7 linked regions of the Nothobranchius furzeri genome follow. The protein of the gene in region 7 interacts with the protein of the main gene of each other region in a biochemical or structural test. Links are inferred from orthologs where the notes say so. Each region holds a gene or a part of one and is shown on either strand. Other genes may lie near its edges. The genes, in order: ncoa6, cdk5, nr0b2a, ncoa4, histone acetyltransferase KAT5, histone deacetylase 4 and pparg.

Evidence for each region.
Region 1: the proteins of pparg (region 7) and ncoa6 interact in a test that uses a peptide from one of them, tested with the Homo sapiens proteins (2 studies listed by BioGRID). The link is inferred for Nothobranchius furzeri from reciprocal best matches to the Homo sapiens genes PPARG and NCOA6.
Region 2: of the proteins of pparg (region 7) and cdk5, one has a biochemical effect on the other in vitro, tested with the Homo sapiens proteins (3 studies listed by BioGRID, with this or other methods). The link is inferred for Nothobranchius furzeri from reciprocal best matches to the Homo sapiens genes PPARG and CDK5.
Region 3: the proteins of pparg (region 7) and nr0b2a form a complex in vitro, tested with the Homo sapiens proteins (2 studies listed by BioGRID, with this or other methods). The link is inferred for Nothobranchius furzeri from reciprocal best matches to the Homo sapiens genes PPARG and NR0B2.
Region 4: the proteins of pparg (region 7) and ncoa4 form a complex in vitro, tested with the Homo sapiens proteins (2 studies listed by BioGRID, with this or other methods). The link is inferred for Nothobranchius furzeri from reciprocal best matches to the Homo sapiens genes PPARG and NCOA4.
Region 5: the proteins of pparg (region 7) and histone acetyltransferase KAT5 form a complex in vitro, tested with the Homo sapiens proteins (2 studies listed by BioGRID, with this or other methods). The link is inferred for Nothobranchius furzeri from reciprocal best matches to the Homo sapiens genes PPARG and KAT5.
Region 6: the proteins of pparg (region 7) and histone deacetylase 4 form a complex in vitro, tested with the Homo sapiens proteins (2 studies listed by BioGRID). The link is inferred for Nothobranchius furzeri from reciprocal best matches to the Homo sapiens genes PPARG and HDAC4.

The regions. Positions count from the first base shown.
Region 1 is NC_091755.1:60,747,824-60,751,863, reverse strand, and holds the start of ncoa6 (nuclear receptor coactivator 6), read right to left. Parts: upstream 2,801-4,040; 5' UTR 2,672-2,800; intron 1,269-2,671; 5' UTR 1,189-1,268; coding exon 945-1,188; intron 802-944; coding exon 646-801; intron 554-645; coding exon 431-553; intron 1-430. UniProt on the Homo sapiens protein: Nuclear receptor coactivator that directly binds nuclear receptors and stimulates the transcriptional activities in a hormone-dependent fashion. Coactivates expression in an agonist- and AF2-dependent manner.
Region 2 is NC_091751.1:49,909,088-49,912,759, reverse strand, and holds the end of cdk5 (cyclin-dependent kinase 5), read right to left. Parts: intron 2,823-3,672; coding exon 2,726-2,822; intron 1,393-2,725; coding exon 1,323-1,392; intron 1,226-1,322; coding exon 1,165-1,225; intron 1,051-1,164; coding exon 970-1,050; intron 859-969; coding exon 772-858; 3' UTR 501-771; downstream 1-500. UniProt on the Homo sapiens protein: Proline-directed serine/threonine-protein kinase essential for neuronal cell cycle arrest and differentiation and may be involved in apoptotic cell death in neuronal diseases by triggering abortive cell cycle re-entry. Interacts with D1 and D3-type G1 cyclins.
Region 3 is NC_091745.1:40,694,226-40,697,736, reverse strand, and holds nr0b2a (nuclear receptor subfamily 0 group B member 2a), read right to left. Parts: upstream 2,028-3,511; 5' UTR 1,589-2,027; coding exon 1,054-1,588; intron 969-1,053; coding exon 703-968; 3' UTR 501-702; downstream 1-500. UniProt on the Homo sapiens protein: Transcriptional regulator that acts as a negative regulator of receptor-dependent signaling pathways. Specifically inhibits transactivation of the nuclear receptor with which it interacts.
Region 4 is NC_091752.1:62,469,924-62,473,888, reverse strand, and holds the start of ncoa4 (nuclear receptor coactivator 4), read right to left. Parts: upstream 2,801-3,965; 5' UTR 2,578-2,800; coding exon 2,345-2,577; intron 956-2,344; exon of another isoform or gene 780-955; intron 1-779. UniProt on the Homo sapiens protein: Cargo receptor for the autophagic turnover of the iron-binding ferritin complex, playing a central role in iron homeostasis. Acts as an adapter for delivery of ferritin to lysosomes and autophagic degradation of ferritin, a process named ferritinophagy.
Region 5 is NC_091750.1:47,314,777-47,318,705, forward strand, and holds the start of histone acetyltransferase KAT5, read right to left. Parts: upstream 2,801-3,929; 5' UTR 2,732-2,800; coding exon 2,702-2,731; intron 2,622-2,701; coding exon 2,555-2,621; intron 1-2,554. UniProt on the Homo sapiens protein: Catalytic subunit of the NuA4 histone acetyltransferase complex, a multiprotein complex involved in transcriptional activation of select genes principally by acetylation of nucleosomal histones H2A and H4.
Region 6 is NC_091754.1:47,188,773-47,192,272, forward strand, and holds part of histone deacetylase 4, read right to left. Parts: intron 2,392-3,500; coding exon 2,179-2,391; intron 1,695-2,178; coding exon 1,499-1,694; intron 1,225-1,498; coding exon 1,091-1,224; intron 1,019-1,090; coding exon 916-1,018; intron 844-915; coding exon 797-843; intron 713-796; coding exon 605-712; intron 1-604. UniProt on the Homo sapiens protein: Responsible for the deacetylation of lysine residues on the N-terminal part of the core histones (H2A, H2B, H3 and H4).
Region 7 is NC_091743.1:63,419,765-63,423,908, reverse strand, and holds the start of pparg (peroxisome proliferator-activated receptor gamma), read right to left. Parts: upstream 2,801-4,144; 5' UTR 2,500-2,800; coding exon 2,448-2,499; intron 1-2,447. UniProt on the Homo sapiens protein: Nuclear receptor that binds peroxisome proliferators such as hypolipidemic drugs and fatty acids.

The sequences.
Region 1 (4,040 bases), on a different chromosome or scaffold from region 7:
ATATTTATGTTAAACATTGTTAGAAACAATGCAACACAAAAATTCACATGAACCAAATAAAGATGAAGAAATTTTAAAATAAAATACAAGCTTACTGTGATGAAAGTTTGGAAACCTGCGTGTTAATAATATGTTAGAAGCTAATGGCATATAAGGGAATTAGCGTTAGCGTTAACAAGCGTTGATATGACTTCACTGTCGCCCAGAATATTTTACAGAGGATGTTTTTCTGCTCAGCATCAGACTCCTTAAACCTAAACCAGGCCAGTATAAATTATGTCTTCGTCTTCTCATCAACTTGCTCTGCGCTGAAGCTGCTGCTGCTTTCGACAGCATTCATGTGTGATCACGTTTGGACAGTAAAGCCAAAATCTCTACTAGTAGACTAGAGTACTGTTAATTTTTTTGTTAAACTTTTGGAAAAACTTACCTGGGCCAGGCTGACCTGGAAAGCCACCATCCATTCTCATCTGACCAGGTGCACCAATTGGTCCATTCACTCTGACTTCTTGTCCTCTGTTTGGTCCCACAGCCACATTAATTGCTCCCTCTCCTGAACACCAAGATTAAATCATTGCATAAATGAATTTTTATGAAGACAAAAGGAGGAGATCTGCATGAATTCTTTTTGGACTGAGCTATTACCTTCTATTTGCACAGAGAGAATACCCAGGTCTCTGAGCTGCTGCTGGTTGTTTTGGGCCAACAACCGGAGTCGCTCAGCAGCATCCCGGGGAATGTTGAATGTGACACGGACACTGTTCCACGGCTCAACATGTTTAGGCTGCAGCCGTTCTGGGCCTAAAATAAAGTGTATTTAGTTAGTGTTGGTTGGAAAATGCTTAACAGGTCAGTGCAAGATATATATTTTTGAATCAAATACACGTAAATGAGCTCAAATAAAACAAAGTAACAAAACAAATTGAATAAAAATAAACACAAACCCAAATTAAGAACATCAGGTATCCCATTGAGGATAGTTTCTAGTTTTTGAGTGAAGTTCTCATCATCCATGTTTCCTTGAAAGGCAACAAAGACTGTGAAGTCCTCCTCTCCATTTTCTCTAGTGTCTTCTTGCTCCATGGGTCCAACTTCTTCTGTTACGTTGCATTTCTCAGAGCTATCTGCGTCTTCTCCAGAATCTTCTCCAACACCAGAGTCTCTGTCCGATTCACCATCAGGCTCCATGTACGCAGTCTTCTGGGATGAGGAATGTTCAGCAGCTATCCTCCCTTCCTTGTTAGGAGTGGTGTCTAAACCGTTTTATGCTGTAATTACAGATTATTCAAACTTTAGATTACAGCATTTTCTTATCAAATACTATTATTCCATACTTTGCCTATCTCAAATGTATGTACTGCCCAGAAAAGTCTATGGTATTGATTAATTTAATAATTATTTGATAAATTATGCTTTTTCTATAAACTGTTTCAGCTTAAAGTAAAAAGCTGCTTACGCTATGGGTTCCCAATTTTCTACAATTTCGTAGAATGCATTTAAAATGGAAAGTTTTGGGAACATAACAGCTCATCTTAGAATATTTTTAATTTCCCATTAATATATTGAGACCTTCGACAGTTCTTAAAGAGCAAGTCACCCCCAAATCTACTTTTTTTTTTGCTGATAAACTATATAAATGTGTGTCTAAATGTGCTGCAGACACGTGTAGTCAATAATTTGGTACTTCAGTGCATCTTAGTTAAAATTGAAATATTCTGCCTAAAACTGTCAATGTTGCGCCGTTGTCAGGTAAAAACTCTGCACTGCATTTGAATTTAAATCTGCCACCGCTATTGGCTAAGAGGTATGCTATGATGTAAACTGGTACATTATGATGTCACAGTGCCGTTGTGAGCCTGTGTGTGTGTGTGTGTGTATTTGTTAGTGGCTCCGCCCTCTCGGTCTGCTAGGCAACAGCATTTGTTGCATTTTTCAAACATGAAGAGGGAGTGAAATAAGTTTCTTGTAGGGGGTGACTTGCTCTTTAATTGTTTTAGAAACCCTGAACACAGCCAAGAAACAACAGTTATAGTAAGTTGCTAGAGGCTGAAGAGTATTCTATATAACATTCGATTCGAGTAAAACAAAGACAAGCAAAAAAAGTCATAATTTCTATTTGCAAACCAGAAAAAGAAGCAAATAAATGAGTTTGTAACTCAATGAAGCAGACACCTGGAGGTGACATCACTGACCGGTGATTAGCTTATTAAGCAGAGGTGCTCTGATTGGTAGTCACATTACTTTCAGAGTTGTGAGATTTCTTGATATGGGAGTTAAACTTGTTAGTAATAATATAATATATTTTTATAATGATGATCATCCTGGTTTCAGTCACCGGCGCTGCAGGAGTGTGGGCCTTAACGCAGTAAGCTAACATTCAAACAAAATCCACAAGTAAACTCTGTTTCTTACCAAATTGTGCATTTTCATCGTGGTGCAATTAACACTTACATTTCAAATGTATACGTTTTAGCAGCACACAGAAAGAGTGAAATTGAAAGTGGTTCCTATTGGTTTTCCGAAAAATCCTGTTAGCATCAGTTAGCTATGTAGCTAGATGTCAGTCTCCAGACGCGAATGAATCCAAGCAGCGAACCGTAGCTGGTTTAATTTGCCTTTCAACAGTTTTCGTTAATAAAAACAAGGAGAAAGGAATATACAAAGACCTTACCAAACATATCCATATACGAATACGTTCAACTAGTCGACATCTGTTTGCTAGACAGGCTAACAAAATAGGATGAATGTCATAAGCAAGCTAACTAACAAAGGTTGTTTCCGGTTTTCTTTTTCAAAATAAAAGCTCAAAAGGTAAACGCACTCCTTAGGTTAACAAGTTCATGACTATTTCCTAAATAGTCCTGAATAAACTGAGCTGTTTTATCTATTTTTCAAATTGTATTAAATGCAAGTATGATGACAAATTGCGGAACACTGCTTATGTGGGTATGTGCAAACATTTTTATTTCACAAATTTGAACAAAACCGATTTTTCCTTCAATTATAAACACAAAATAATCAAACATCAGGTGTGCAAATGTGTGCATTAACAGTACACAAGACAAGACTCTAAGATTAGAAACCTATTTGATCAATTTAGTGTGAGAGAAAAACGTGTTCGATTTTACTTCTATTATTCCGCTTAATTGCACCAAAAACACATGACACCCATCCCGAAGAGTTCCAGGCTGAATATAGATTTTAGGAATAAAAACATCTACAGTCAAACAGTGATGTAAAAATTGATTTTACATTAAACTGTTTTAATTCCCATTCAGAGAACAAGGGTGACCCTCTCTCAAATAATTCTAATGATTTTCAAGAAAAGCAGCAAATAAACCACTAAAACTATATTAAGAATGCAAAAAGAACAGTAACAATATAAGAAATACTTTAAAATCAATAAAACCATCTCAGTAAAAGTAGTAAACCAAGATGTGGAAATCACATTCCTGTTAAACATCTCTGTCTGGGTATGTTATCACCTAACATGTTCTCAAAAAGAAGGTAAAACTCCAGCAGCTGTGCAAGACAACATAATCACAGTTACATGCCACACTACAAGCAAGGGAAGGACAGTTAGACAAAGACAAAGCAAGTCTCTTCACTTGTCATCTAGCAACATCCTTGGTAATATTTGGAATAATTGACAAAAAACATTAAAAAATAAGTTGACTGTTAATGCATGTACTGCACACTATGCATTTTTTTGTACATTTTACATTATTGGTTTATGATTTCATTTATTGCTCAATAATTTACCTCTGAAATTCTGACTAAACAGTGATAGAGAAAATACTCTCAAACATTCCTCTCATAAGTTCAGCAATTACATTATTTCATTTGCAGCTAACTTTAGTGCCACTGCTGGGTGGGCTTTTACTTTGAAAACCTTGTACCGTGTGACTCGAGCAAACAGATGTGAGGTGAACTCACAGAAAGCTAAGTGGATTTTTATTTAAATGGCAGTTTGCTGTGAGATTTTGATGACTGTAGTAGTTTGATCATTTTTATTCCACCTTTTCTTCTTTCACTAGTAT
Region 2 (3,672 bases), on a different chromosome or scaffold from region 7:
TGACGTGATTTGGGGACTGTCCGGACACGTTAATGCAGAACTGAGCTGTCTGTTTGGTCTGTGTCAAGTACCCAAGTGGGTACAATAATAATAAAATCAGTGTGTGCAAAAAATCTCATAAAAGACTTCACATCTACTGCCATCTTTACATTATTTGTCCAGAGTCACAGGATTTCAGTCGCTGTCTGAGCTCATTTACTTTCACATTTTCCCATTCCTGCTAGTATAAATATTTGTTAAGGGGATTAAAATGTCTGTACACATCTCTGCAGATTCAGTCGGTTTAAGCTACTTCCTTAGGGATACTACTGACTCTTTTACAAAGGCTGAGTGAGTAATTGATGCGTTATATACAAGCACTTTGATTCTCAAGCATCTGAGATAATTAAACAAGTTAAATGAGTATCGATTAGGACAAATCCCAGTTAAAACTTAATAAATTAAAATTCTGATAATAAAACACTATTAAAACAGGCAAAATAGCAGGAAATAAACAATTCTAGGAATATATAAAAAAAAATTTATTCAATGCAACATCTGCTCATGTTGGTGCTAACTGGCTGAGGTGTGTTTGGACCAAATTACACAGGCATTTAACTTAGAAGGCCCTAAAACACAGCAGAGCCACCGGGGCTTTGTTTCACACACAGGCACAAAAGAACGAACTGCTCAAGTACCAGTGAGGGGTTTGAGAGGTGGTTCTAATGATAAAACGAGTGATGGATTATTGGTTCCTGTGTCTCTGATCCTCAGTAAGGAGCAATTTAGTGTTTAGGGTGGGCAGAAATCAGCAAAGTAAGGGTGCTGCAAGGCCTCTTCCGCTGAAATCCTCTGGACAGGATTACATTTCAACAGGTTCTGGATCAGATCAAGGGAAAGGTTTTAATGAGCAACAATCTGTGCAAAGCATAAAAGCTGACAACAGTCATGCATTGAATTATTTTTTTATAAATAGAAATGTTGAAGTACCTGCAGTAGATCTCGTCCTGTGCTGCTTAGCTTGGGAACCACGTTCACCAGTGATGTGGTGGCTGGATACATGGGATATGGCTGGTGGAAGAATACAAGAGTAGCAGTGTCTTTATTGGAAAAAAGGTCCAAAAATCTTGTGTTGGAACCAACGTCCAAGGCTGCTGTCAAGAGAAAATCAGCCACTAAATTTACCTTGTAATCAGGAAGCTTCGTCATAGTCGGCCACTGTTCCTCGGTGGGTGTTCCCAACAATGTAGGCAGTGGTTAAAGACTAAATGTTTACAGGAATAATAATAAAAACAGAAGTCTACTCTTGGTAACAGATGGACAGATTTACTGGCAAAGGATATCTGAAGATTCTTTTCAGCTGGTCGTCCACGTCATTGCCAGGGAATAATGGCCGTCCAGCATTAGCCAGCTCTAGAGCAAAACAACAAAACATCGGATTTTTTTAAATGCAACACTTGAACAAGTGTTCCCTAATCAATGCCTCAGCACCGCTCTCTTGGTCCACCAGGCGACACCTCCTTTTGGTTTCAAACAGGAAGTGTAGGTGGAGTGAGACTCTGGTGGGAGGGTGACTTGCTCTTTAAAGAAACACTAAAGAGTTTAACAGTTTAAGGTAATGCTTTCAAGCTGGTTTCAGTGGTTCTTGAACCCGAAGTTGAGCAGCTTCACATGTGACAGCACTCTGCAGCTCTCTTCTGGCCAGAAACTGCACCAAGCAACTTTGTGGTTCAGGAAAGGACAAGTGAGAGGTGCAGCAACAGTTGGGGTGTTTACTATGCTGGTAGCTAATAAAAAGGCTACCAGGTAGCTCTTTTTAGTTTGTTGATCATTAGTTAAAAAAAAGTGTAAAAAGAAGAGTTTTTTGTTTGCATCATGGTGGTGCCTGGAAGTAAAAAGAGAGGCAAAGCAAAGAAAGCATGAACTGGACAAAGAGTGAACATTGGTGCGGTCTACATTGGAGGCTGTGGCAGGATTAACCAGTTTGACTATTAACCGTGGTTAACGCCACCAGGTGGCGGCTACCTATTAAAAATCAAGACAATAGCACGGGCACGGACAAAAACAAAAGTGAAACTGAATGCGCACACACAGCAGAAGCAGGACCAGTGACAACCACCATCAGGACTGCTCCATTTCTACCGAGGAAACAGTTGTAGTCTCCTGTGTGGGAAGATATCTAATATCTAAAATATTCCCAACAATTACTTTGAGAGAAGGCACGAGGGACAGGTGTGAGGAAGGTCACAACTTTGAATAACTACTCTTCAGAATCCTCTCATCCCCTTGGGGTGATTACAAGAGGAGATTTCCCTTTCCTGAGTGATGGAGGAGGAGGAAATGATTTCTGATTCACAAGAGGACGTGAGGAAGCATAAGTTAGCATAATTTAAAGCATCAACGGTGTCACTGATTTCACTTAAGCAGGCATAAATAATCCTTCAGCTACTGTTGAGAGTAATTGAGCTGAAACTTAAAATACATATTTGGCTAAATAAATTCTCCTCATCAGCTAAAAAGCCACTGTGCTTACTGCACCTGAACTTCCCATGCATTCTTATACATCTGGATTTTATTTTGTACAAAGTAAAAGAATTGCATGAGATAAAACTGCAGTTGTAATTATTAGCTAATAGTAATCAAATTACTAAAGTAGATAAAATATGAATATTTAACCATTTACACACAAATAATGACTTATAAAAACTTTACCTTTCACATTCACAAGTGGAAAAAAATAACAAACCTGCAAATATGCACCCGGCTGACCACATGTCGATGGAGGTAGAATAAAGTTTAGCGCCAAATAAGACATCTGGAGGTCGATACCACAACGTCACCACCTGCAGAGACGTTAGCAGCATTACAACAGCCCAGTGTTTTGGTGCTTTTTGAGGTGAATCCAACTTGAAGTTCCCGCAGCACCGTTAACCTACACCCACCTCCATTTTAACTCAAGCGTTGGTGCATTTGACCAAATTGCTGCATTGCCGGCTATTTTACATTTATTCCTCCAAGTTTTGGAAAACACTGTCACCTGAAGTGCAGTAGAAGTCCAAATTATGATGCATTAACAGAACAGTGTGTGGGCTGGCTGGTTTTCAGCAACAAAGGATCAAAAGTTCTCACAGCGATGCTGATGTTAATGATGTGGCCACCTGTTACTGAAACAGCATTTTGTACATGAATGAACTGAACGTGTCACTGAGGTAAAGGAACACCCTGTAGAAAAACAAAAAGCTTCACAGAAGGTGCAAGATTTCTCCTGAAACAGCTGTGCTTGTTTATACTACCGAGTTTGTTTAAAACTGACAGAAGTAACTTTTGGTGTTTAACTTCAAGCTGCAGAAGAATTCTTTAGAAGTTTTGCTAAAAGGTTTGAAGAAATAGGATAAATAATGAGTAAAGAAGTCCCGGTCCCAACATATAAAAAACTATGGAACTAGGACTGGGACAATATTACATTAAACTTGTACTTAGTTTTGTAACTTGTAATATGTTTTGTAACTATGACGTTGTAGAATGTAATTTTCATTTTGTAACATGTAAAGCCGGGGGTACACTGTGCGACTTTTTCACTCGCAGCGTTCAGCTTCAGCTCAAACTGTACGACTTCCTCGCAGAGCAGATCTCACGAGTCGTGTGCTCACACTGTACGACCCAGTTCTCGCATGCGATCTGACTGCTCACACT
Region 3 (3,511 bases), on a different chromosome or scaffold from region 7:
ACGCGTAACCCCATTTCCACCGGCTCACCGCCCCCACCAGCACATTCCTGTTTTACCTGTACGAGTTGTCATGTAAAGACAGGGTTTCACAACTAACATACCACAAAGTAGGATGACTAAGCCTGATTTCTCAAATAACTACATGCAGACAGTGTTTTTTTATACTGCGCTGAGTTTAGCGTTCGTGCCATTCTGTCCCTTTTTGTGACGATGGGGTGGGGGGATCTTGATGCTGTGGTTTTGTGAGAAATGCAAAAGTAAGAAAATATTTGCCGCTAGTCTTCTGAGAAAAAAAAACTTCCACCAAACGTCCTCTAGAGGGAGACACAGCACAGCAGTACAGGCAGAAAAAAGGTTTTCTGTTCCATTTGAAGCCACAAATGTGTGTTTTCATTCTAATTTTAGATTCTCTCCTTTAACGCGCAGGCTTACGCTTGACTTTCTGAAAAGTTTGCTGAGCACAACATGTAATGGAGGATGGATCCACGGATCGGACTCAGTCGTGTACAAAAATATATTTATTCAAGTTTTCTGGAAATGCAGATGCTTATTTACAGCAGAGGAGCTCATCGACACGTAGGATCAAAACTCAAAAACCTCTCAGGAGTTCTGCTCAGACGGTGAAGTGACCTCAGCTTCAGCGGACGAAAGTCAAAACCCTAGTGTGCTTTATAGAAGCCTCTAAAGCACGCTGCATGGAGGTCACCATCCCGAGGACCACCCCTCCCATCGGCTGAAGAGCATGTCGACCAGCAGCTCCAGCAGGTTGGCCTGGCCTATCACAGGCCTGAAGAAGAGTTCGGTGATGAGGCTGGGTGTGATGCCCTGCAGCATGGAGGCTGTGAGGAGGATCCGAGCAAAGCGCTCCTGGTTGCCAGGGTGAAGCAGCTGGACCACCTCGCTCAGGGCGTGCTGAGCTTCCTGCTGCAAGCCTTCGACAAACAGGCCTGCCTTCAAATCTGGTACATCTGTTTGAGAGAAAACCAGAATTGTTGCTTGACAAACGAGTCCTTGGATTATCTGTTGTCTGAATCCAGTTAACGCAGTACATACCTGGATTAAATATCGTGGTCCCTTTCAGGTAAGCGTACTCCTTTGGGCTCACATCTAGACTCCAGAACTTTTTGAGACACGACTTGAGTTTGCTGATGCCTGCCATGGTTGGCTGCTCCCGCTCTGTTTCAGGGCTCTCCTGGCAGTTCAGGAGAATCTTCTTCAGCATGCTGTCAGCAGGGACGTCCGCCACCTCAAAGTCCACGCGCTCCTGGGCCAAACCCAAAATAAAAAGTGGCACCCAGCTGCTTTTAAGTAGTGCAAACTGGTCACTGGGTGGCAGCTGGTTAAACGCTGGCAAGTTCTTCATGAAGTGGACGGTTTTCACCAGAACTGCAGACGCCTCTTTGCAGACCACAGACGGCCTTTTTAAGCACACTCTCCGCCGCGTCTCACAGTTGCATCTGTGAGGAACGGAACTGTGGCTGGAGGTGTCTGGAGTCGGTCTACCGCTGTCCATCTGGCTCAAGATGTTGTAGAGGATCGGGTTTAACTGCCTTTGTTTGTTAGCGGAACACTGGCATCTGTTATCCATCTTTCTTCGATGCGGCTGCTCCTCTGAACCTCTTCTCTGCCACGACGGGCTCCGTCTGAGCTTCTGAGAGCTGCTGCTTCCTCCAGTCTTATTTATAAGGCCAACCCTCCCTTCTTAGTGGACCTTGAAATGTCAATACACCCAATGTGAAAAACAACCGCGCGCTCTGCCAGGTGACTGCTGGAATAACCCTGGGAAACAGATAAGCTTTTCTCATTGAGAAGTAGCTGCTGGAGTCACACATGGATATCAAGTGGGATTGGCCTTATCTGGAAGGCAGTGTCATCAACCCAGGCAGTACCAAGCTACCAAGGACTGCAGAGGTAATCAGCCCCACGCTGTGTCACTGCACCCGCCAGCTCACACCTGTAGTGCTGGAAGGAGGCCAGACCACAAAGGAGGCCGTTGACCTTCACATCGTGTTCTCATCAAACGTAGTTTAGTTTAGACAAACGTTTCCAAACCGGGAACAGTGGGAATTATGCTTCAATTTTAGGGAAACAGTAGTAGTAGCATAAAACCACCAAATAATTCCCGACCACAGCTGCAGTTCTCCGCTCCCCACGGGGATGGGTCAAATGCGGAGATGAATTTCAACAGTGTGTGATGACTAAAGGAACTATTGAAATGATTCCAAATGACTTCGGGAAGAATATAAAACAAGTTCATCGCTGTAGCGAGCCCCCTAGGGGCAAGTTGCATTGATAGCTTAACCTGTAACTCTGGGGTGGGAACAAACGGTAAAATGTACACTTAATGCATCTAATCCTCAGAAGTCCCAAAGCATACTTCAACCTTATAACCACTTCACCTACTAACCTTTAAAATCGGACCGGCTAGCAGCAACGCGACTCTACCACTGACTCTGTTTGCTCTTCAACGTTGATGTTTTCTCTCCACAAATAACACGAGCCTGGAGGAGGTCTGCTGTGTGGTGGAGTTGCTTGTGCTAACGTTAGCTTCTACTACCTCTCTGCTGTTTCCTGGATGCTAAGCCAACAACAGCCGCGAGTCAAGGAGGGTGAGTCCATGAATGTTAGGTGACAGCGTGGCGTAGATCTGTCAGGCTTTTCAAATCCTAGGTGTAGGAGACTATTTTCATGTTCAGCATGAACGAAACACTCGGAGACCGATTATAATCAGAAATAATAATTAAAACTTTTTTTCAGTGTTCCACACCGTTAATGGATATCCATCAAGATTTGCGTTTTAATTCTGCCTTTTCGATCTTTAACACGATTATTACACAGAAGATTAAAAGGTTGTTTGTGTGATCGTAAGGGTCGTGTGTAAGACCAGTTTTTCATTTGAAACATGCACAGAAGTGTTTGTTAGTGATCTGGAACGTAATTAACCCGTTTTACAAATGTCTGCTTCTATAGTTTCTTTGTTTGCATTTGCTTTTGCCCAGTTCCTGAGTAACAGCTGCATTTACGTAGAAGTTTTTGAACATGTTTATTTTGCTGTCAACACATTTGAAATGAAATGAGGCATTCTAACTGCAGATGTTCCGTTTGTGAGACAAACTTATCTAAAAAAGCATCTTGATCAAAAAAGAAATAGTGTTATTGTTTTTACAAATGTTACATTCTCTTGTTGTTGGCCATTTCACAACTAATCTCAATAATGTACATGTTTTTCTTCAGTTCAGATTATTTATATAGCTCCTAACTCAGCAGACGGCATCGAGTCACTGACTAGGTCTTTGCAGCAATCCTCAAAAGCAAGTGTGTAGCGACAGTGGGGATTGGGAAGTCAGCGCAAACACACACACACACACACACACACACACACACACACACACACACACACACACACACACACACACACACACACACACACACACACACACACACACACACACACACACACACACACACACCAAGTGGTGTTCCTATGGCTAGATTGTGATTTCTTATTAAA
Region 4 (3,965 bases), on a different chromosome or scaffold from region 7:
GTCATAAACATTAAAATACAGATGTAGAATTAACAGTTCTAAAATGTAATTAAATAATACGGTGTAATCTACCAGAATAAATAACCAGTTAAAAGCTAAGCTAAAACGGTGGGTCTTTAGCCCGCTCGTACAAACATGGACGTTCTCTACGGCCCTGAGGTTCTCCAGCAGCCTGATCCAGAGGTGAGGGTCATAAAACTGAAAGGCTGCCTCGCCGTGAGTGCGTGTCCTGACTTTAGGCATAACCAGGAGGTGGCTGCCAGAGGCCACAAGGGTTCATATGGTAAAAGCAGGTCTGACAGATAAGAGGGCCAAAGGCCATAAAGACTCTTAAACACCATTAAGAGAACCTTAAAATCATTCCTGAAACATACGGGGAGCCAATGACTGGTGCGATGTGCTCCCACCTCCTGGTCCTCAACAGAAGTCGTAAACCTGAGTTGTTTCTTCTGGGAAAACCAGAAAGCAGGGTATTACAGTAGTCTATTCTGCTGGTGATGACAGCACGCATCAGCATGTTCTGACTCATTTAACCCCTCTAACAGAGCCAGGCCAGCCTCTTCAGCCTGAACATGAGCACACCTGAAGCTTTGTCCTCCAGGTCAAACAGCAGCCAGGATGGGTCCAAACTCTGTCGACCTAAACAAAGGGCACGACTCACCTCAGCATCACCAGCTGACTCAGCTGTTTGTGCACGCTGCTGCATTGTGCTCAGTGGCTCCCCACCATCTACTGGATTAAACCAGTCTTACCGGTAAACCACACGCAACTGTACACACCTAGACAGTCTGGTGTCCAGCACAGCCAGGTCCAGATTAGCTCAGCAGGTCCAAAGTTGTGCAGAAGCCCGTTAATGAGCTGAAACCCACAGGACTGACTTCTGTCTGAAAAACAACAAGGGTGGAGGCGGAAGTGGCTTCAGCAGCTCCTTTCAGCTGTGGGGAAGTGGGCGTGGCCTGAGCAGCAGCTATCAGCTGTGGGGAAGTGGGCGTGGCCTGAGCAAAAGCCATATCAGCTGTGAACAGTCAGCTGATGTCAGCTTTGATAACAGAGCATCCAGAGTTTAGGCCAGTCTAGGACCTTCATGTTGACCCAGTCACACTCCAAAAACGGGCTCTCAAGCTGACCCTCAGAGGCTCCTGTAGTCCAGATTCATCTGCTCAACATGAAGCACAAACCAGCAAGACCTCTTCCTCTGATCCCGATAACACACACACACACACACACACACACACACACACACACACACACACACACACACACACACACACACACACACACACACACACACACACACACACACACACACACACACACACACACACACACACACACACACACACACACACACACACACACACACACACACACACACACACACACACACACACACACACACACACACACACACACACACACACACACACACACACACACACACACACACACACACACACACACACACACACACACACACACACACACACACACACACACACACACACACACACACACACACACACACACACACACACACACACACACACACACACACACACACAGCTGCTGGAACTGTCACATCAATAGTCCTGATACTCTGACCCGACCCATGTCAACTTGGACTAGCGCAGAAGGACCAGTCAGCAATTACAGCGAGCTTATCTGTAGCCGTCAGCAGGACTCGATGTTCCCTCTCTGACCCGAACAACCACCGGAACCACCTGATGGTTTACCAGGAGGTGACCCACCACAGGCCCAGCCGGGCCCAAAGGAGCCGAACCAGACTAAATCTTCTTAAGTGCTTCATGCAGCTTGAGCTCTAAACCGGATCCGCTGCAAACGCGGTGTCAGATTCATGTGTTCTCGCGATGACTGTCCTCCATGACCGTCTACAAGGCCGCACGTACACACACACGAACCCGGTCACCCCCTTCAATCACTCCATACCTTTAACCCACGTGACGAGCAGCAGACAGGTCCAGTCACAGACATTTATGTCTGCACATGTGTCTGTGGGTCCAGCAGGGACTCCTCGACGCTACCAGCTCTTGGCTTTAGCCAAGTTTAGCATTTGTACGGTAAGACAGGCCTCTGGGGCCCCTACTGGGGTTCCGGTGAATGTGAGACATGACACACGCTGGGCTCCCTGGCCAAAGGAGCAGAACGCCACATAGAACCAGGACAACCCGACTGAAGCACGGGGACTAACGCGACACCACGGCCACCGCCAGAAAACACAACAGAAAGTACCAGACCCGATCATCGCCATTTTTACCCAGTTACATATTTATGAACAGACAAGAAGGAAACCCAGCTAACTCCGAGTTAGCCGTTTCCGGATTACCGTGTGGCTTTGCTGTTAAGCCTCGACTTCGATGACATAGGCGACTCGGATCGATTCTCTGACACCACAGATGGAAGAATGTTCGCGGAGAACCAATGTCTCCTCGGACAGCTACCGACGTTCACGTCACGGAAAGAAAAAAAATCGCTATGAAGATGAAGTCTCGCGATAACTGAAGGAAATTTTTGGATTGAGCGGAGCCAGGCGACGAACAGCACATGGCTGGTCAACATGAAGAGTCGCCCACATAGATATGCGTGACCTGGAGGGTTGGATGCTTAGATCCTAAAACCGTAGGTAATAATAACCCTTGATGAAAACAGCAGAGGCTTATTCACAAGTTTAACAATTTTATTCAGAAGATACAGAACAGGAGATTTATTAAAGACAACCCAGGTCGGTGATAAAAATAGGCTAAAACTCTAAACCACGAGAGGGAGGAGCGATGACAATGCTGGCCCTGGGACTACACACAATTATTTAAAAGCACAAAGCCACTGTAGGGAACCGACACAAGAGACAATAATATAAAGAAAAACACTCAGTGCTCCCTTTAACTAAAGCTCATACACACGTCCAGGGGCGTAGCACCAAATTCTGGGCCCTAGGTACAAGTCTTCTAGGTGGGCCCCCATGCTCAATTACGTAATATCTCTTACACATTTTTGTCATGCTATAAAAATAATAAATATGATCCTAGTTTAACCTCTATATTAGCAAATACAAATGCCAGCATAATAAAAATGAAATGCCCAGACTTCACATATAATTATTTTTTATTTGCCAACAATGTGTTCAAACAAAAATCCTGGAATTTATTTTCCAGTAAATGCCCACTGACGGGTCTTCATGTTAGCAAAATCACTTATGAGATCTTTAAAGTCCAATCCTTTGACTAATTGGCTTTCAATAGAAAGAAGAGCTAGGCTGTTCAGTCTATCCTGGGACATTGTTGATCTCAAATAATTTTTCACCAGTTTCACTTTGCTAAAAGCCCGTTCACCCCCAGCAACAGTCACAGGTAGTGTGCAAAAAATCCTCAGTTTAATACAAACTTCTCCAAAAATGCTCTGTAATTGCATCCTGTATGGCATTAAGCAGCTCAAGGGGAGACCGAATGTGTGGGAATGTGGCACCATATATTGTTCTCAGGTGTAGCATCTCATTCTCATATTCAGCTGTGAGATCCTTGTAATATTTTCTCATCAGTGCCTGGCATGATATCTTCATCTGCTCTTCAGTCATGTCTGTCATGGTTCATGATGTTAAGCTTTGCGAATACTGATTGATATATTAAATACATATGACATGAAATAAACCAGGTTCTCTCTGTGAATGTAATGTACTCCAAATTTTATAATCCCTGCATTATCAGCTAAATTATAAGATTGTCCGTTTTCAAGATCAAATATAAAGAAATTTAAAATAGGCTTAAAATATCTAACCAAGTCAATAACAATCCTCTAACACCAGTGTCATCATGCTATATGAAAAACAGTGGCAGCTTCTCATTCCTGTGATTACCACGAACCCATCGATACCAAGTTTGTCCTGGTCCATGACTGGGAAGGAGCTGAAATATCCACACAGAGTGAACCTGTTTTTACTGCGAGGTCCGCGA
Region 5 (3,929 bases), on a different chromosome or scaffold from region 7:
CTGAAGCGCTCTTTACAGATGTCAAACTAGGTTTTAAACCAATAACAGCTTAAACTAGGGGTAGACCGATATACAAGGCAAATATTTGGCGTTCTTTATAAATCGGCAGAAGCATTGCGGTTTTGAGAAGTCAAGTGGTCAAACATGATGCGCCGCTGAGCACTTCTCGGAAAGTCGTGCGATAGTCACATCAGGCCGAACTTGAGAACAGGAAGCAGAAAATGACTTTCGTTTTTACGAGATCAGACTTGCCGTCGTGTTTTGAGAGACACTAGTTATTAAAAATGGGTAAGTACGCTATTTATTAGAATATTTTAATATAGTATTTCAAATTAATCACTGCTTTAAAAATGATTTCCAACTCAAAATTATTTTTATTTACCAGTTTTGAATATCAAATAATTGACACGTCACTTAACGGATTTGTTTGATTACCTTTTATTTAAATGTCTGATATTAACACTGAGCTGTGTTCAAAATTAGGATTTAACAGTTGGTTAAAAAACTGATTCAGAAATTTTGTGCATCAACTGATGTTATCTGACGTTTTAGCATGAAAATAAGGTGAAAATATTTAGATATCGGACATAAAAATATCGGCTGCACAAATCGGACATCAGCTGACCTTTTACATATCGGCAATCAAACCAATATCGGTCGACCTCTAGTTTAAACTACAGGTTTAATTACACTGTAGTTTATCAGAGCCCTTCCATGCATTTCTATGCAGCTATAACAGTGATGGGAATAACGCCGTTTAAAATAACGGCGTTCTTTTTTTGGGTAACGGAATAATCTAATTAATTACTTTTCCCACTGTTGCAACACCGTTACCGTTACTGGGGATGGAAGGTTGTGCGTTACTATGTGCTTGTCGAACGTTGAGCAACAGTGTGAGGCTTTCTGACCGCCACACTTCAGCTGCAGCCAGGGAGAGAGAGGTGTCAGTAACGCACTTACAAACCCGATGATGATTGGCCGGGTGGGCGGAGACCCTCACTGTCTCAGTCACTGCATGCTGTAGACTCAACAGAGCAGTGATGGGAATAACGCCGGTTAAAATAACCGCGTTACTAAAAAAAATATTTCTTTCAGTAACGAGCAACCTAATTAATTACCATCTTCTTTTATCAAAATGTCGTTTCTGTTACGTATAAGAAATGTGTGCGTTAAGCAGCGCAGTGTGTTGAAGCTGTCATCAGCTGATCAGGAGCTAAAGAGGCAGATGTTTTCATCCAAGTGCATCACGGCCCGTGAAGAACGAGGAAGACGTGATGAATAGTCTACGGCTGCAGGTGTGGGTCTGCAGCCGTGCCCTTTAACGTGACAGCGGGACGTCCTGAAGGTCCGCTCACCTGTTCACCACTCAGACGTCCTGATCTTCTACCTTCCTAGATCATCCAGCTGTAGCCTGTTTCTGATCATGTCTTTAGTCCCGCTGTAACACTGATGCATCAGTCTCAAACGTCATGGAGCTCAGGTGTTATTAGAACCACCCAGCTTCAGCTCTTCTGTGTTTGGGTCTGACCCACGTTAGTAAATGTAAGTCCTCCATCAGATTTGTGCCTCTTCTACTGTCATTTTAAAGGATTTTTATTTATTTATTTAACCATTACTAGATTACCAGCAACAGAAATGCTACTAATAACACACAATTATGTGAAGTTGGAAAAGTTAAAATACTGTAATTTACATTCATTTCTGTCATTTAACTAGACTGAGAGACCATTTAAAGGCTCGGGAACCTTTACAGGTGTTTCTATTTGCAATTTTAAATTTTAGCTGATTGGGGTCTTGTTAAATATCACACAGTGACGTTTTAATAGTTTAGATAAGTGTAATGCTCCTGTTCCTCCTGTTAAGTGCTTATTTATTTAAATTATTCAGGTTTACAAAAAACATTTTGACATACGTTTTATTATGTTCCAGTCACTAGTCATTTATATTTCACTATTGTAGTAATTAATAGTAAATAAGTTCAATTAACCCATTTTCTTGCATTCTTTAATGAAAAAAGTAAATAAGTAGTTATTTTTCTTGGTAATTAGTTACTTTTATAATCTCGTAACTCAGTTAGTAAGTGAGTTACTTTTTTGACAAAGTAATTAGTAACTATTACTAATTACTTTTTAAAAGTAACTTTCCCCAACACTGGATATAACAGTGTTTAGTGTGTTGAACTTGGTATTTTAATTTTAAATCTTAATTATTTCATTTGTATTATTAGTGTCTTCATTTTGTCTTACGATTTGAAGTTGGTTTTTATTCCTGCGCGAGAAATGAACGTTCATATTCTAAATCAATAAAGATTAACATGAATGTTTGTTGACATTTAATAAAGATATTTGATTACGCTTCTGCAGACAGGATTCAACAGTTAAGCCTCAAAAATAAAGAGTGGCTTCAAAAGCGTTCTACATTAGCACACCTTCTCAATCTTAGTAACACTTTAGTTTTTTTGTCTACCTGGAAGACGAGGTGTCTGCTAACAGCCAGCTGAGCTTCGATAGTTAGCATTAGCTTAGCACCAGGGAAACAAACGGACAACACTTACGCCATTCGTCCTCGTGTTCTTGGTTTTTACGAAGAACCGGTAGGCGACAGCCTTCGACAATTTCGACCTGTTGTTGATGAAACGTTATTTTACAACCAAATAATGGTCAATGTCTAAAAAGTAGCATAGTTTCTCTGGAGAACCTACCGAAGACGAGCTGTCCACCATTTTCGTCATCTGTGAGTGCAGCAGCAGGGTGTTGTGGGAAAATGCCGGTCCACGCCAAAGATGAAAACATACGTCAAGATAGTTGTTTGTGCCCTGTCACCGGAAGTTAGTGAGCTATCTTAAATGAGGCAAACAACGCAAACAGAATGGCTTCACTACTTGAGTTATTAATAGTAATAACACATTATGTTTTAAACAGGAAGAGAATTTATGTATTTGAATTTCACAAAGAATGTATACACCACTCAAATAATTACAATAAAAACTATATACAACTAAACCAGTAACAAAATAGAAATGCTGTTCTATTTGACTTTTTTATCTATGTGAACTTTAAAAAAAATTTATTTAGTCGTTTGATTTAATTGATGAAAACCAACTCAGTCTATAAGGCATTTATATGTTTTATTTAGGTCAGTTTCACGGAACACGAGAACTCGATCCTGTCTAGAGTAAAGATTTTTCCGCCCTCTGGCGGACCCAAGCCATTACAACAACATTTGGATTGCGTGATCAAATTAGTTAATTTGTAAATTAAAGTGACATGGTAAGTCAACTTCCTGTGTGTGTGTGTGTGTGTGTGTGTGTGTGTGTGTGTGTGTGTGTGTGTGTGTGTGTGTGTGTGTGTGTGTGTGTGTGTGTGTGTGTGTGAAGTTAAAAAGGTTTGTACTGCATTATGAAGCAAGTGTATTTTTGCACCAATCTGCCACACGAGAGCAGCAGTCTTCCATTGTTGGGAGCAAAAATGCTGCAGTTAATCACATTATTATAGAGGTGAGATTATTAGTTTTTCCTGTAATTGCTGAGAGCTTTGCCGACTCATAATGTGTTTTGTTTTCTTTTAGGAAAGAGGGAATTTTACAAAGTAACATGCTTATGGAGCAAAATGGATTTTACTATATCACAAGTTTACATCCATATTGTTTCCTGCTGTAAAAAAAAGTATGACAAACCATTCAAACTAAACTTAAATTTTGATCAGATTTTAATCAGTTTCTAAACATGTGCAATAGAAAATCTTCCTAATTTAATAGTACATCACTGAAATGTTGGAGAACACAACCCCCATGTTTACCCTCCTTAATGAGCTGTTAAGAAGCATCTGATTAAATTCATGTGTCCAGTAAAATGTTAAAATTAACAATAAAATTGCACCTGAAGTTGTCATCTCGTTAGATCTCTGGTAGATTTAGACGCTGGTGCCTCA
Region 6 (3,500 bases), on a different chromosome or scaffold from region 7:
GGGACCGGTGGCGCCTGTGCTTGGCAGCTTCGCCTCTGTCAGTGCGCCCCAGAGCAGCTGTGGCTACAATGTAGCTCATCACCACCAGTGTGTGAATGTGTGAATTACTGATTGTGTTGTAACACACCTTGGGGGTTCCAGGACTCTAGAAGGTGCTGTATCAAAAAAAAGGCCATTTACCATGTAGATAGCTTCCTGAATAGCCTCAGTTTGAAGACACAGTATTTACATGCTAAAGGATTGATGAGCTAACGGCTAGTCTGAGCACAGGTGTCATCTTTATGAAGCTCCAGTCTACGAAACTTCAGAGAAGTTTGAGTTTCATTTGGTAAACTTTAACAATGATGTTACTTATCAGTTACTCATTTCTGTTACTCATTAGTTACACAGTTACACACTCATTTCTGTTACTCATTAGTTTCTCAGTTACTCACTCATCCGTTACTCAGTTACTGATCAGTTAGTAACCCACTCATCAGTTACTAAGTTACTACAGCTTTGGCTCGTAGGTCAGAAAACCTCCCTAAGTGATTTTCCTCCAACAGGAACCCAAATCAAAATGGCTGAAGTATCATTTTTGAATAGAATGAGAGTATTATTTTACCTTCAGCTCTCCAGTGGCCACTTTGAAAACCAGCTCCACCACCGAGCCGACGGCGAGGCGAGCGGCGCTGGACGAGTGGACCTCATTCCAAATGGTGTCACTGTCCACCTGAAACACCCAGATGTTTAACTGCTGCAGTGGTTAAATACATTTAGACAATAAAACCGTCGGATCTTTCATGCCGTCACTCACCCCCACTCCTCCACACGGGAGCCGTACAAACATGGGTGTTACCGAACCTGCAGATCAGATGTAACGTCCGTTAGAGGAGATCAGCGGCAAAGTGTTTTCACTCTGAGCTCCAGGCTTACAATCAAGTTTCTGTCGGAGCGGGTTGGTTCCATACAGCAGCACGTGGGCCTCAGAGTGGACAGTCTGCAGCTCCTCCAGAGTGGCCTTCCTCCCCCGGATGCACTAAACACACAAACACAACAGCTTTCACACATCTGGCCTCAGAGCAAGACCGTCAGCACCCACGGCTCCTACCTCACACTGCGCTCTGAGCCCGGTCTCCTGCAGCCGAGACCAGATGCTCTGGATCCGCCCGGCGTGCTCCGGGTGGCTGTTGGTGTTCCCACACATGCACTGGTGCTTCTGCATCAGGGAGTCGTACACCAGACCTGGGTGGGAAAGCAGACGGCCCAGTTTCACCACAACCTGAGTTCTAACCTCAGAACAAACAAATGTCTGTGGTTCTGATCCGGGCAGCTCTGGGGGTAAAACGGCCCAACTACAAATATCTCCTTCTCTTCTGCGTTAATGCAGGTAAAACCGACACCAACAGCTTCCTTAAAGAGACTTAAGAGAGGAGATCTGAAGAAGAAGGTTCGGTTTTTAAACATTTCCGTCCCTAATGCTTCAGAAACAGAAGGGAGACATGATGACGATGCAAACCTGTGGTGAAGCGCGATTTGACGGGAGGATCAGCTGTAGGGACGCTGAGAGGAAACGAGGACGCTGAAGCTGGAGACGACTGGGCCCTGGACAGGGGACGGTGTCCTGGGAAGGAGACGGACAAACCGGCCGCCTCCATCGATGCCTGATAGTTTCTGAGCTGGTGAATCCGCTGCTGCTCCAGTAGGAGAGCCTGCTGCTCAGAGGGGAGAATAAAGGAGGAAACCAGGATTATTCATCAGTTGGGAAACACGGCCCAGAGATCACATTTAAAAGACCCTTCCGTGTGTTATGACCTCCTTCTGCCACCTTAAAACCACAGAAAGTTCATGTCTGTTCGTAATGATTATTTTACTTTTATCAAAGTCAAAATGTGGAGAAAACATCGGATACTTATAAAAGCAGTTTTGAGTTTCACCCTAAACCAGCTCTAATCAGCTTCAGATGAGTTGAGGTATTTGTGTATGTAGAGACTCTTATTTTGAAGGACTGAACCCTTTTTTAAGGCTTAACCTGTAAAACCCACCTGAACCCTTGGTCAGATCAGAACAAATCCACTCTTCTCTGACAGTAGTATTTAAAAAGTAAAGATGATAACAGGGCAGGAGGAAGTGTGGGTGCAGCGAGTGACCAGCAGGTGGCAGTGTAAACACATCATTCAGCTGCTTAACTCATCTTACCTGTCTGAAGAGCAGCTCCTGCTCTACCTGTCTCTCCAGGTGCTGCTGCAGCACCTCCTCCTGCAGCTCCTGTGGGTCTGGGGGCTCCTGCTTGATGGTGACCCCCAGCGGCAGTACTCCTCCGTCCTGGTGCTCCCTCAGCTCCTCCTCTGTCTCCTCCGGGTGGCTCTGGTGCTGCCGACCCACGGGTGACTCGCTGGGCTTCCCGATCATCTGCAGAAGGATGAGAACCAGCTGGATGTGACAGATCCCACAAACCAAACTCCTGTTCTCCTCTAACGAGCTTCATCATGATGGCTCCGGCGTGCCTCTAACAGGGTGAGTGCCTCGCTCCACGTGTGACATCACTCAGACATTCCAGCATGCTGCCAGCGACTCATCCAGGGGCCCCGACCCCATGCGCTCATTCATCCCCACTGATTGGTGGACGCGGGTGTTTATGACGCAGAAACTCGCAAGAAAGAGGAGAGTTTGCAGCAGGTCCCAAGTGGGCTCCATCTACAGGTGTGTGTGTGTGCGTGCGTTCCCAAAGCTACAGTCCTCTGGGTCTGCTGGCATCGTGCCAGGGGACATCAATGACGCCAGAGCATTCACCCCCTCGCTCTGATCCTGCTCAACTTTCCCAGAATTCCCATCTTTATTCCCGTTGCAGCAGATCTAAACAAACATGTTAAATGAAAAAAAAATAAAAATAAAAAAATAAACTCGTCTACATAAACGGATGATTTATTTGGGTTTTTCTAGCTGCTGTTGCTTGTTCTAACTTGCATTTATTATGTATTTTTATTGTTAATCAGAATCATTTTAGTTATGTGCTCTTTATTTATACCTGATTCATGTTTTTTTTACACAACATCATTAAAAAAGAAAATTTTCTGACTTTTACTTTGAAAAACCTTTACTTGTTCCTACCTTTATCCTATTGCTCATCAGTGATATTTTAGTCATCTCAAAGTCTCTGTGTGACTCATCTTTCCTGCAAATTTCAGATTTTTCAAACAGTCTCTTCTTTTTTAGAGCCTTTTATTTAGAAAAACCTTCCTCTTTTGTTTTTCTTGCTGTTTTTATGGTTTAAGAGTCCAGAATGAGGTTAGATTAGTTCAGAAGGTTCTGTCTCAACAAACGTTGATCCAGAATGAGGACAGGAGCTTTTGGCCTGTAGCCTGGATGGATCAGGAGCATCAGAACCCGGTTCGGGTCCGTCTGGGTTAGCTACGACCACGTTGGGTCATAAGGCTCTGCTATGTATTTATTTCTTTACATGTTGAATGATTGTTTATTTACTTAAAGCAGTAAAGTTAAACTAATCACCTTCTAGATGA
Region 7 (4,144 bases):
ATGAAACCAAAATTAATTCATCATAGAGCTTATCATCAAATATAATTAAAAAAACCTAACATTCAGTCATTAGTGTGAAATCTATGTAGATACTAACTTATCAAATCTAATTTTCTTCTTGACTGATCGGTTGCATGGAGAAACTATGATGAACTGAGAGCAAAGCTGAGAGATGAGAATAGCTGCCACGGGAGCCTGGAAGTCCAAACGGAGACAGTGCAATCAAAATGTGTTTTTTCCAGGAGTGTCCATACTTGGAAAAAGAACTGTATGGAAAATAAATAATGGTTGCAATGCCATAGTGAGTGCTGGGTCATAACTGAAAGTAATTGAGTATTTTATGTTGCACATCACACACTGTACGTCACATAACTGTGGAAATATGTGCCATGAAAAGAGGCATGACTAAATAGAAGGATACTTTCAAAGCGGAACATGACAAAATAATTTTAATAATGATTCTTTTGGAGCCCAAAGCAAAATGCGTACTTAATTAATCACACATCTCTCTGTCAAAGTACAAAAGATTAACAAGTACAGAAAAGTTTTATTAGCAAACAACTTGCCAGTGTCCAAAGTTTTGTTTGGTGTCAATAAAAGTTTGCATCTGCAGCCAAAATGTTGCGGTTCGTAGACAGAAAATGATGAAATGATAGCCCTGAAGTTAATAATTACACCTAATTTAAAAATAAATTGACAACCTTAGGGTTAAACCACTTCAAACGCCAGCATTATCTGATGAAACCTAATCAGAAAAGCCTTTTAAAACACTTATTCACTGCATGAAATTAAAATGAACAAAGCAGGATTTTGGCAGTGCAGAAGCAAAAGTGGTTAATTATCTGTGGGTTCATCCAGAGCATGTCATTCTCTTTTATCTGAATGTTTATGCAAAAACAGATGTTTAGACAGTCTTCCTTCCTTTTGCGATTACATTTCGCTCTTAAAACTGTAGGTGACTGAAGTACCTTCCAAAAGGTTGTGGCAGAAAAAGTTGATATTTCTTTCTTTTACATCAATAGAAAGCTTCAAAAATGACAATAAGTGACAAGAAGTAACTTGAACTCTTTAGCACACAATTAAAATAGCTTTATGTGCAGGTGTGTTATCCACAAAGCGAGTGATCAACAACAAAGAAATAGCAACGTATCTTGAAGCACTCCTTTCGTTTACGACAACAGAACAAAGTCCGAATCTGTCTCAGTCATTCATACACACATGCACCAACAAACACATGGACGCACCTTACTCTAAGAATTATATAACCTGATAAATGAGTGATTTAGGGCATGCAGTTGCATCAACGCCTGTATCGAAGCTGCTGTTAGACTTTAAGTCATTTATGTAAAGATTACAGGATGTTTTTTTACCTGAGCTAGTATTACTGATTCAAGCTGCATGAGATTTATGACACCAGAATCCGAGGCAAAACTTTCAGGACTGCACTCAATTTCTTCCAAATGAATAGCTGATGAAAATGCTTGCATTCAAATAAATAATACTTAAAATAAACCAAGCTGCTGCTGTAATAAAAGTAATATTTATGCTTTTACCTGAAGGTGCATTTATAAATACAAAAACACGCCTTGATAATTAATCACTCAATAAAAAATGTATTATGCTTTGTCTCATTTAAAAAAGGACATAATAAACTATGATCAGCTTAGTGATAAACTCGTCCTATCGCATCTGGAATGTTTGATGGACAATTTTGCTTAAACCCAATAATAATTTGTTAACCTTTAAAATGCTATTTATTGATTTAGAGACATTTTGACAGAGTTTGACCTGCAGCAGTTTATTGATAATCAGAAGTACAGAAAACTCGATTTAAAGATATTAGTCTAAATTTTAAACAAAGTTGCTGAAGCTAAATATTTGCCTACATTAAGTGATTGTTTTGTTGTGTATCGCCAGATCACAACTCTGACTAAAATAAGAACAAAACAAGTACATTTAAAAAAGTAACACTAAAATAACGTTCCAAGAAAAAAACATAATACAGAAAATACAAATGACACCGAGCACAAATTTAGTGAGCAAAATGTCAAAAGGGAGTAAAAGGTGATGATTTACATCTGGTAATGCTAAGCATTTATTAAATATTCTGATCATAATTACTGTTTTGACTGATATCTATAACACGTTTCCATTTTGCAGCTTGTTTTCACCATTATCAGTCCCATTAAAGGATAAACCAACAGATCAGATTTATTCCCCACATGAGTTCAAAATTAATTCATCAAAACCCAAAGTGGAAAAAACAGGAGTGACTGTGTCAGTCTACATTATTATAGCTGAGTCACAACTCTTATGTAGCAGTTACTGTAGAAGAATCTACAGTGAATCAGCACATGTGACCCCCCCCCCCCCCCCCCCCCCACACACACACACACACACACACTCTAAAACACTAGAACCCAACAGCAGGCATCACCTGGTCTTACCTGAGAAGATGTGACCACTTAGATGGTGAAAATCTCTGCCTGGTGTTTGCATGTCAAGCTCACACTCGCACTGTGGCCCAGAGACACACTCTGGACCAACTCCTGACGTGCATGCCAGTTGTCAGCCCTGTGGCCGCACCCCCTCTCTATCGCCACCCCCAATCTACGCCACTGGCTACTTGTCACTCTCTAGGAAGTGTCCACCTTAAGTCGACATGTTTGAAAAAAGTAAAACTTTAGTATGAAATCAAAAAGTTAAAAGTTATCCTTATTGTTTTAAAATGACACAAAAACTGATGCAGACACTTAAACCCAGTCTTCTGAATTACTTTACTTTTTATGACGTTTGCAGTGTTTTATTACTCCTAGCAGCCACAACTCCAAGCACAATAAATAGTGAACTCAGAAGGGGGTGACTGACCTGATCAGTGTGTTGAACCGCAGAGGACAGAGAGAGTCCACGGGCTGCGTTTCCGGTGTTGGACCGCACTTTCTCGGTCGTGTTTAGCTCGCCTCCCCCCTGGAACCGGGGGCTTGGGCACCGAACAGCCGCAGCAGTGTGGTTGGGTCCGGGTCCGTTCGCTGTGGAGCGCTCAGCTCCTGCTGCTGCTACGGTGCGTGTGTGAGCCTTGCCTGGTGCGTCTCTCCCCTCCCTCCTCTCGGCTCAACCTCCAGGGATTTAAGGACACATAAAAAGGCGTCAAATTACCTTCTAAAGCTCCGATTTACTTAATCGGATCTATTTAAACTGATTTATTATGCGCAGAAAACACAGGTACTGTTACAAGTTTTTATTTATGAGAGTGGATCTTATAAGGCACCTAATGAGTGAAATAGCATCACACAAAATGAATTCTTTAATCTGGCATCAACTCGGAATTTTTCAGAAAAACTGCAAAATCTTCTAGCTAATCATAAACTAATGTTTTAGGAAACATTTGTTGTTTATTAAGTCAAATATGGCTCAGCATGCACCAAGAAACAACCTATAAGTGTAATAAAATGAATGTATTTTTTAAAGTTGATCTCACCTATCAGCACATCAAAGCTGCATGGAGCTCATAGGAAGCTGAACACATTTTAAATTGTGGTTTGTGGCTAACTAGCCACACTTTTAGCCATGGCCAGCTACTTCCTCATATTAGCATATTTAGTCAAGTTAAAGCTGCAAAGGCAAGTTTGGAAAACAAATTAGCTTAAAACATGTTTCCATGCCCCTTAACAACATTTAAACATAGTATAGCAATACATATTTTGTGGAGAATGATAAATAAATAAATAAACAACTAGTATAGAATAGACTTTTTTTGATCCCACAGTGGAGAAATTCACTTGTTACAGCACCACCAACACTTAAGAGAATAATTTGAAGAAAAATAATAACAAAGGTACATGTACAATACATAAAATATATACATAAAACAAAGTGGTTCTCTTGCATTTGTCTAAAAATCTCCGCCAATACCAATGAGCCGCCCGAGATTTTGAGAAGTCAAGTGGTCACACAGGACACTTCTTGGAAAGTCGCGCGATAGTCACAACATCACACGGGACTTGAGAACAGGAAGCGGGAAGTGACACGTGATCAGACTTGCCATCGTGTTTTGTGACTCAAATTCATTAAAAATGGGTAAGTACGCTATTTATTAGAATGTTTTATAATCAATAGTACTTTAAAGTTATCAAAACTGTGACTG